Canis lupus familiaris: one gene and its partner. The protein of the gene in region 1 purifies or fractionates together with the protein of each later gene. This does not show direct contact. Links are inferred from orthologs where the notes say so. Each region holds a gene or a part of one and is shown on either strand. Other genes may lie near its edges. The genes, in order: CSTF3 and CSTF2T.

Region 1 (4,369 bases):
GATTTCAGAATCCTAGATCAAGCCTCATGTCAACCTTCCCTGCTTAGCAGAGTCTGCTTCTCCCTCTCCTCCCTGCTTGTGCTCTCTCAAATAAATAAAATGTTTGAAAATAAATAATTTTTTAAAAGGAGAAAAGAGGGATCCCTGGGTGGCTCAGCGGTTTAGCGCTGCCGTCAGCTCAGGGGGTGATCCTGGAGTCCCCGGATCAAGCTCCCTGCAGGGAGCCTTTTCCCTCCCTCTGCCTGTGTCTCTGCCTCTCTCGCTCCGTGTCTCTCATGAATAAATAAAATCTTTACAAAAAGAATATTGGAAAAAAAAGGAGAAAGGAAAAAAATTCTTTACAGAAAAACATGAGCGAGTCAGTAAAGACAGAATAGAATTTTTAACATCACCATTTGCCACCTCCAAAGTAATAAGTGATTCAATTGACACATAACTAGTTTTAAAAAGCTACTGAGGAATACAAAGTCAATCCACAGATTACTAACTGCAGAGAAAATAATCCTTCACAATGAAGAAACCCAGCAATCATCTCCCTGCCCAAATAATCGAACTTAACCACCATTAATAGTGGAACAACCTAGCATGAAGTGCCTTTCCATGTAACATTATACCATTCTACCCAAAAATATTTAACTCAAATATTATCAAAGCTCTCAGTTTAGACCTAACCAACCACAAAGTTTTCAGGAAATAACAAAAGATGAAGGGACGAGTTAAATGATACCACATACACAAAAATCAAATCAACCCAGAAAATAAGTTTTATTAGAAAATTGTCTTGGATTCTGCAGACAAGTCCCTGGGAAAAGGGGGGGAAGGAGAACTATTCAAGAGACAAAACTAATGGGGCATGTAAACCCAGATTAGATTCTGATAAGAGAAAAGAAAAAGAGAGAGAAAAACCCTATGAATCATATTCTTGGGACAACTAGGGAAATGTGAACAGGAACCAGGCTTTAGAAATGATAGGTTAAACTATTAATTTTTTTAGGTGAGAAAATGGTATGGTTATATAACTGCATCAATGTCCTTAAGTAAAAGAATGATGAAATATAAGGGCCTGAAATATGTCTCGACTTACTTTCAAATAAATATGCAAGCAGAGATAAAACAAGTTTGGAAAAACAGTTAACAGTTATTGATTATAGGTTAAGAACTGTATTGCAGGCATTCATCTCACTTTTAACTTTTCTCACGTACTAAGTTTCCTTTGCACGGTAAAACTTTTAATTTCTTTTTTTCATGTAAATTTTCACCACCATCCCCTTTCATTCAAAACAAGAGAGTTCGGAAATATTCAAAGTCATGACATTTCATTTCAGTGTCCTTATAATTTAAGAAAAATTTTGGAACTAACAAAAAGTTCTGGAAACTTTCAATGAAACCTTAGGACGTTACTCCTCAAGTTTCAAGTGACAAAATTAGGTATACATCTCAGAATAACCATAGGTATACATAAGCAGATGTGATATTATGGTTTTGAGACTGGAGATTTTGCTTTCCTGGGCATCGAGACAACCATGTAAAATGTTAACAAGGTTTCAGTCAACGAGCAAACACAAAATTCAATTTAGCAAGCTCTCCCGACGTGACATTTACAGTCCCCAGACTACTCAAGAGGAACTGCAACTTTGGCCTCTGTCAACCTCCAAGAACAGCCTCTACCTTCTAAGCTGGGGACTTAAAAAACAAAAACCTAAGTGTAGTTCGTTACCGTGGCAACAGGGAATTTCAGGAAATTGAGACTCTGCAGGCTAGCGGGCCTCCATTTTAAAAAACTATTTACCTAAACATTCCAGGACTTAAATCGAAAAGCAAACTGACTGACATCTTTCATGAAGTAGCAGTTTCCTCCTTCAAACTAAGAGGCAAAAATACTACTCTACAAAATTCTGAATAAAGAGCCAAACACCCTCAATCGTTTCGCTAAGTACCTGAATTTTAAAAATGCTTGTAGATCATTTACGTCCAGTACTAAAGGAGACGTTTTTATTTGAAGGGGCAAAAAAAAAAAAAAAAAAAAGGACCTCTCGTTTTCCGATTTATCAAATGCTGCAACATTTGGATCGCTTGAAAAACGAAAATGAAAATGCGGACAGGGGGAGAGGGAAAAAAAAAAAAAGAAGGTATCAGGAGAAAGCTACACAATCCCCAAATCTCAGCATTAACCACGCTTTTTTTTTTTTTTCCTACACTGCTTCCGGCTTCATTCGCTCTGGCGAAGAGACCATTTCTCCAGACGAGTTTCACCTCACGTTATTTCGCAAAACTGGTCACCTCTCTGGGGGCATATCGGAAGGGGGGGGGGCGGGGGCAGAGGAAACACCGTCAAGTTTTTTTCGAAAACAGAGGCCACACGTTCAAAGTAATCGATCCTCAACCACCCTAATGCCAAAACAAAAATGGTTATTAAAGGAAGGAATCCCCCAGGAGTAGTCCCATAAACCTAAACAGGACGAAGCAGCTTCCTATTGTCTAAAGCAAGTGTTCGCGTTAACGCCTCAGAGAAGCCAAAACAAGAATTTCACGTCTCCGTCAGCTCTCGCTCCCCGGTTCCCACCATTTCCGCTGAACCCCGTCCTCCGGGTTCCTCAGACCCCAATTCCCTCCTCAGGCGAACATGGCTGGAGCACCCGGACCGACACAGACGTGGAGAGAAGAGGTCGCCACGAGGCCCCACCACTCTCTTTCCTCACCTGCTCCGGGGCTCCGTCTCCTGACATGGCCTCAGCTGACTAGAAAGGGAGAGCTGGCCCGCGATGCGAAGCTAGAAAAGAAAAATTAAACTAAAAACCACCCCAAACCAGTAAAGTTACCCCCGGCCCGGCGGAGCCAGACAGCCAACGCGAATCGCCACCGCCCACTCAGATATGAATTAAAATGGCTGCGCCCCTGCCGGACGAGGAGAGGGGTGTGGCTTCGGCATTAACTTCCGGGGCGATGGGCGGAGCTAAGGTCCCGACGCGCCGGTTTGCTCGGCCGCGCGGATGCGGGGAGGAACGCCGAGGTGGGCGTAGGGTCTGCGCTGACGTCACGACGCCGGGCTCCCGGCGCTGTTGCTGAGCTGGCTGCAACCGGCTGGGAGGCGGGAAACTGTTTACCCTGCAGGCTCGCGCGCCTTTTGGAACTTAATTACCACGCTGTGGAACCTGGGTTTTTTCACTGTTGAAGCCTGACTGCCAATCAGTGTAGTTCAGGGCCAACTGGCCATCTTAGGGAGCGATGCTAAGTTTAGAAGCCTTCTATATTTTGTTTTGTTTTGTTTTGTTTTGTTGTTTTTGTTTTTGTTTTTTGCCTTCTATATTTTGAACGTAAGAGACATATCGAGGTTTTCCTACCATCTGAACTAATGCTTTCTGTGCTTGTTAGGGATGCTCTCATCCATCTTACACGGTCACTATCTCCTATTTTGTCTAAAGTTTGTTGTTGTTTTTTTTTATGGATTCATTCATCTTTATTTCAAAGTTTAAAGCACTGTTTATTATAAGAAACTTCACTACTCGATGTGTATATTTGCACACATGCAAATATCCAAACATATGTGCAATTGTCTAAAGTTTTGACGTCAGTAAGGCCCCGGGAATTAAGCTCAGCATCTTACGGTGATTCCTCGTATGCAAAGTGGAGATAATAGCGCTCAGGCCCCGCAGCCAGACTCCCATTCCTTCAAACCCTGGCTTCCTCTCTCATTGGATTGGTAACCTTGGGCAACTTGTGCCTCAGTTTCCTTGCCTATAGATACGAGTAACAACAGTAGTATCTGCAATTTAAATAAGGTGGACACGTGAAAGTGCTCAGAGCTGCTCTGGCCATAGCCCAAGATTAGGGGAGAACAGGTCTCTTCTCAAACTAATTTCCAATTAAAGATCATCCTGGGGGGATCCCTGGGTGGCGCAGAGGTTTGGCGCCTGCCTTTGGCCCAGGGCGTGATCCTGGAGACCTGGGGTCGAGTCCTGCATCGGGCTCCCTGCATGGGGCCTGCTTCTCCCTCTGCCTGTGTCTCTGCCTCTCTCTCTCTCTCTCTCTCTCTGTCTATAAATAAATAAAATCTTAAAAAAAAAAAAAAAAAAGATCATCCTACGCTGTCCCCTCTCCTCCTCCTCGCTGATGGAGGCCCACGTATCCAAAAGTAAACTTCGGCTTTCACCACGCACGCCTTATTCTTCTCGTCTCTCCGTGCCTCTGCTCCTATTTCCACACCACCCTTTCCACAGCCTGAATTCTTACCCTTCCAAGTAATCAGACGCTTGAACGAAAGATGTTTATTAACACAAAGATGTCAATGTTTATTGCACCATCCGACATGGAGGCCTCGTTAAGTAGGTTACGAAACATCTCTACAATGGAATGTCGTGAGGCCAGGAAA
Region 2 (4,407 bases), on another chromosome or scaffold:
GGAAGGTACTGAGAGAGCGGCCTTCGGGACCCTGGCCCGTCCTAGGGCCGTCCCAGCAGAACCGTCAGGCTCAAGGCCAGGCCGGAATACTGCTGCTCTCTGGACGGCGGGATACACGCAACGTCACACCACATGCACTCCTGGATTTTTCAGGTAGCACAGCTTTAAAAACAAACAAACAAAAAACAAAAAAACAAACTAAAAAAAAAAAACAAAAATAAAAACAAAACCCACCATCCAGTTCTAATACCACAAGTTGAGACTTAACCTGTTAGCACCAACATTTTTAAATAATTCCACTAAAACGATGCTTAACCTAATACAACCATCTCCTGTCCCCAAAATAGCATTTGCTATTTCAAACGGCTTACCAAAAAAAAATGTATCTGATAACTTTGAGGTAAACGTCTTTATTTTCTTACACAACCAAAAATCGTAAACTGTTTTAGCACGTTACCATTTTAACAGGTCAATAGTTTAGTCCTTATGTGCAGTTTTCACATTGTTTTACTCGGTATTCAAAAAATGTAGTTTAACATATTGTAGACACTCTCAGTATTGCTGCGTTCTTTGTCATCTTACTCCGTGTAGTATAACCACGTTCAGAGTTATTCTTGTGTATATACAGTGAGTAAAAGTGAACAGACCCAATCCTGCCTCCCCCTGCGCCCCCCCCCCCCCCGCTCCCATTAAAAAGGAAAACAAAAGGAAAATAAAAAGACAAGATGAAATCAGGAAGGGAAACCCTAATCACTGGAGCGTGGGGATGCAGACGTTGGCTTTCTGCATCCACCCTCCATGCTACAGGAAAACTCGGAGACCACTGCCGGTTATCTCCCGACACCGCTCAAGAAGCCCCAGTAGACTTCTGAATCTGTTCCTTTAAGATCAGGATGCTCTGCCTCTGCTCGGGGGGCAGCATGGCAATCTGATCTGCAGTCAGCTGAAGAACCTGCATGATCAGAGCTGCCTTTTCCTGATCCTGTGGAGTTACCTGGCTCTGCCCAGGACTGAAACTGCTAGGCTGGCCTCCACCTTGCTTGCCTGCCCCCTGCATGCCCACTGCTTGCATGCCTGCCCCCTGCATGCCTCCTCCTTGCATGCCTGCCCCCTGTATGCCCCCTCCTTGCATGCCTGCCCCCTGCATGCCTCCTCCTTGCATGCCTGCCCCCTGCATGCCCCCTCCTTGCATGCCTGCTCCCTGCATGCCCCCTCCTTGCATGCCTGCCCCCTGCATGCCCCCTCCTTGCATGCCCGCCCCCTGCATGCCAGCTCCAGGATTTCCCACCCCTGAAATGCCCGACACCTGTCTGGGCCCCTGAGGACCACCCGCCCCCATGTTAATGGGCCCGGGCCCCTGGATTCCCCCAGTCATTGGGCCTCTGGAACCGGGGCCGGGGCCGGGGCCCCGCATCTCCATCCCTCTCGCGTCCATGCCTCTGGCTTCCATCGCACAGGTCTCCATCCCTCTTCTCTCCAGCACTCTGGTCTCTAGGACTTCCGTCTCCATCCCTCGAGAATCTCTGCTCCCTCTGCCATCCATGGGGAGCCCCCTCTGATCCATCATGGGCCCCCGGGGCTCTCCCATCAGCAGTCTGGGGTCGGCGAGGGGCCCGCCCCGCAGGTCGTGCGAGTCTCTGGCGTGGCCGGACGCGTGGTGCAGGGGCGGGCCCAGGTAGCCTCGGGGCTCCACCTCCCCGGTGACCGAGAGCAGGGTCCCCCCGCGGGGGTCGTTCGGGGCGTCCCCCAGCAGCCCCCGAGGAGGGAGGCCCCCCGCGGCCATGGGCCCCCGCGGCAGGGGCGCCCTGGGGTCGGCCATCTGCACCTGGCCGCGCTCCAGGGGCCCCACGCCGGGCATCCCCACCTGCGGCTGCATGCCGCCCGCGGCGGGGAGCGCGGCGGGCCCGGGGCCCGGCCCCGCGGCGGGCAGGGGGCCCGGCGCCGGCATGCCGGCCTGGATCGGGGTCTGCATCAGCGGGGGGATGTCCTTCACGGGCCTCCGCGCCAGGTGCGGCGGCTGCGGGGCGGCGGGGCTCTGCTGGGCCAGCAGGACGGCCGGGGCGGCGGGGCCGGGGCCGGGGCCGGGGCCGGGGCCGAGACCGGGGCCGGGGCCGGGGCCGGGGCCGGGCTGCGCCTTGCCGGGCAGCAGCGGCGTCACGTGGACCTTGCGGTGCAGGATCCTGAGCGCCAGGTCGGGGTCCATGATGCGCATGACCACCTGCGCCTGCAGCAGCGCGTAGGCCAGCTGCGGGTTCTGCAGCAGCATGCTGCGCGCTTCCTGGTGGCTGTTCTGCACGCACAGCTTCATCTGCTTCATGAGCTCGAACATCTGCTCGGGCGGCAGGCTGGCCACGGCGCGCGTGATGGACTCGGGCGCGTCCTCGGGGTCGATGGGGTCGCCGTAGGGCGAGTCCACGACGGGCGCGGCGGGGCCCAGGCTCTTGAGCTCCTCCTTGTTCTTCTCGCTCGCGGCGTTGTCCACGCGCAGCGCGCGGCCGCTGAACTCGCGCCCGTTGAGGTTGCGCATCGCGCTCAGCGCCGTCTCCTGGTCCTGGTACTCGCAGAAGCCGTAGCCCTTGGGCTTGCCCGTCTCGCGGTCGTACACCAGCCGGAAGCTCACCACCGAGCCCACCTCCGAGAAGATGTCCTTCAGCTGCTCCTCCGTCGCCTCGTACGGGATGTTCCCCACGAACACGGAGCGCAGCGACCGGTCCATGGCCGGGTCCCGCACCGCCAGGCTCGACATGGCTCCCGGCGGCCCGGCGCGGCGCGGCGCGGCGGTGGCCGGCGCTCGTCCTCCTCCTCGGCGGCCTCGCTTCCGCCGAGCAGCGGAAGCCGACGGCCGGCGTCCGCCCGGAAACCGCCGAGGCGCGGCCCGATCGTTCCGCCCGCCCCCGCGAGTGCGTCCGCCGGTGCGCTCCGACGCGCGCCTTTCGCGAGGAGGCTTCCCACCGCGAGCCGCCGCGGCCGCCCGGAACGGCCCCCGGGGGGGCTGACCGCAGTAAAGATGGCCGCAGCGGCTTCGCCGTGGGCGCCGGGAGCGGACGTCGCCGCGACGTCACGGCGCTCTGGAGGCCGTTTGCCCCGCGGGAGACCGCCCACCGACCGGGGCTTCCCCGCTCCCTCCCCGGGCGTGCGCTCGGTTTGCTGCGGGGCGGACCCCGGCCGCGCCCGCCTCTGGTCGGCCCAGGTCGCGGGCACCCAGTGTGGGCGTCCCACGGGGCCGGGCTTTGCTCCCGCACGCGCGGCGGCTCGCTCTGCAGGACGGGGCTCCCCGACCCGACGGGGCTCCCCGACCCGGGGCTCCCAGAGCTGACGCTGCTCCCCGACCCGGTGCTCCCCGACCTGACGCTGCTCCCCGACCCGGGGTTCCCTGGGCTGACGCTGCTCCCCGACCCTGGCTCCCCAACCTGACGCTGCTCCCCGACCTGACGCTGCTCCCTGACCCGGGGTTCCCTGGGCTGATGCTGCTCCCCGACTTGGTGCTCCCCGAGCTGACGCTGCTCCCCGACCCGACGGGGCTCCCAGACCCGGGGCTCCCAGAGCTGACGCTGCTCCCCGACCCGGGCTCCCCGACCTGACGCTGCTCCCCGACCCCGGGCTCCCCGACCTGACGCTGCTCCCCCGACCCGGTGCTCCCCGACCTGACGCTGCTCCCCGACCCGGGGCTCCCCGACCTGACGCTGCTCCCCCGACCAGGGCTCCCTGGGCTGACGCTGCTCCCCGACCTGACGCTGCTCCCCCGACCCGGGCTCCCCGACCTGACGTTGCTCCCAGACCTGGGGCTCCCAGACCTGACGGTGCCTCCCAACTCGATGGCTCCCCGACCTGATGCTGCTCCCTGACCCGGGGTTCCCTGGGCCGACGGTGCTCCCCAGCTCCGTGCTCCCCTAGCTGGTGATGCTTTCTCACTCGGTGCTCCCTGAGCTGACGCTGCTCCCCGACCCCGGGCTCCCCGACCTGACGCTGCTCCCCGACCCGGGGCTCCCCGACCTGACGCTGCTCCCCGACCCGGGGTTCCCTGGGCTGACGCTGCTCCCCGACCCTGGCTCCCCAACCTGACGCTGCTCCCCGACCTGACGCTGCTCCCTGACCCGGGGTTCCCTGGGCTGATGCTGCTCCCCGACTTGGTGCTCCCCGAGCTGACGCTGCTCCCCGACCCGACGGGGCTCCCAGACCCGGGGCTCCCAGAGCTGACGCTGCTCCCCGACCCGGGCTCCCCGACCTGACGCTGCTCCCCGACCCCGGGCTCCCCGACCTGACGCTGCTCCCCCGACCCGGTGCTCCCCGACCTGACGCTGCTCCCCGACCCGGGGCTCCCCGACCTGACGCTGCTCCCCCGACCAGGGCTCCCTGGGCTGACGCTGCTCCCCGACCTGACGCTGCTCCCCCGACCCGGGCTCCCCG

Evidence for each region.
Region 2: the proteins of CSTF3 (region 1) and CSTF2T purify together in Homo sapiens (co-immunoprecipitation; 4 studies listed by BioGRID and IntAct, counting the BioPlex papers as one, with this or other methods). This does not show direct contact. The link is inferred for Canis lupus familiaris from reciprocal best matches to the Homo sapiens genes CSTF3 and CSTF2T.

The regions. Positions count from the first base shown.
Region 1 is NC_049239.1:34,891,061-34,895,429, reverse strand, and holds the start of CSTF3 (cleavage stimulation factor subunit 3), read right to left. Parts: upstream 2,923-4,369; 5' UTR 2,727-2,922; coding exon 2,700-2,726; intron 1-2,699. UniProt on the Homo sapiens protein: One of the multiple factors required for polyadenylation and 3'-end cleavage of mammalian pre-mRNAs.
Region 2 is NC_049247.1:36,526,941-36,531,347, reverse strand, and holds CSTF2T (cleavage stimulation factor subunit 2 tau variant), read right to left. Parts: upstream 2,818-4,407; 5' UTR 2,747-2,817; coding exon 848-2,746; 3' UTR 391-847; downstream 1-390. UniProt on the Homo sapiens protein: May play a significant role in AAUAAA-independent mRNA polyadenylation in germ cells. Directly involved in the binding to pre-mRNAs.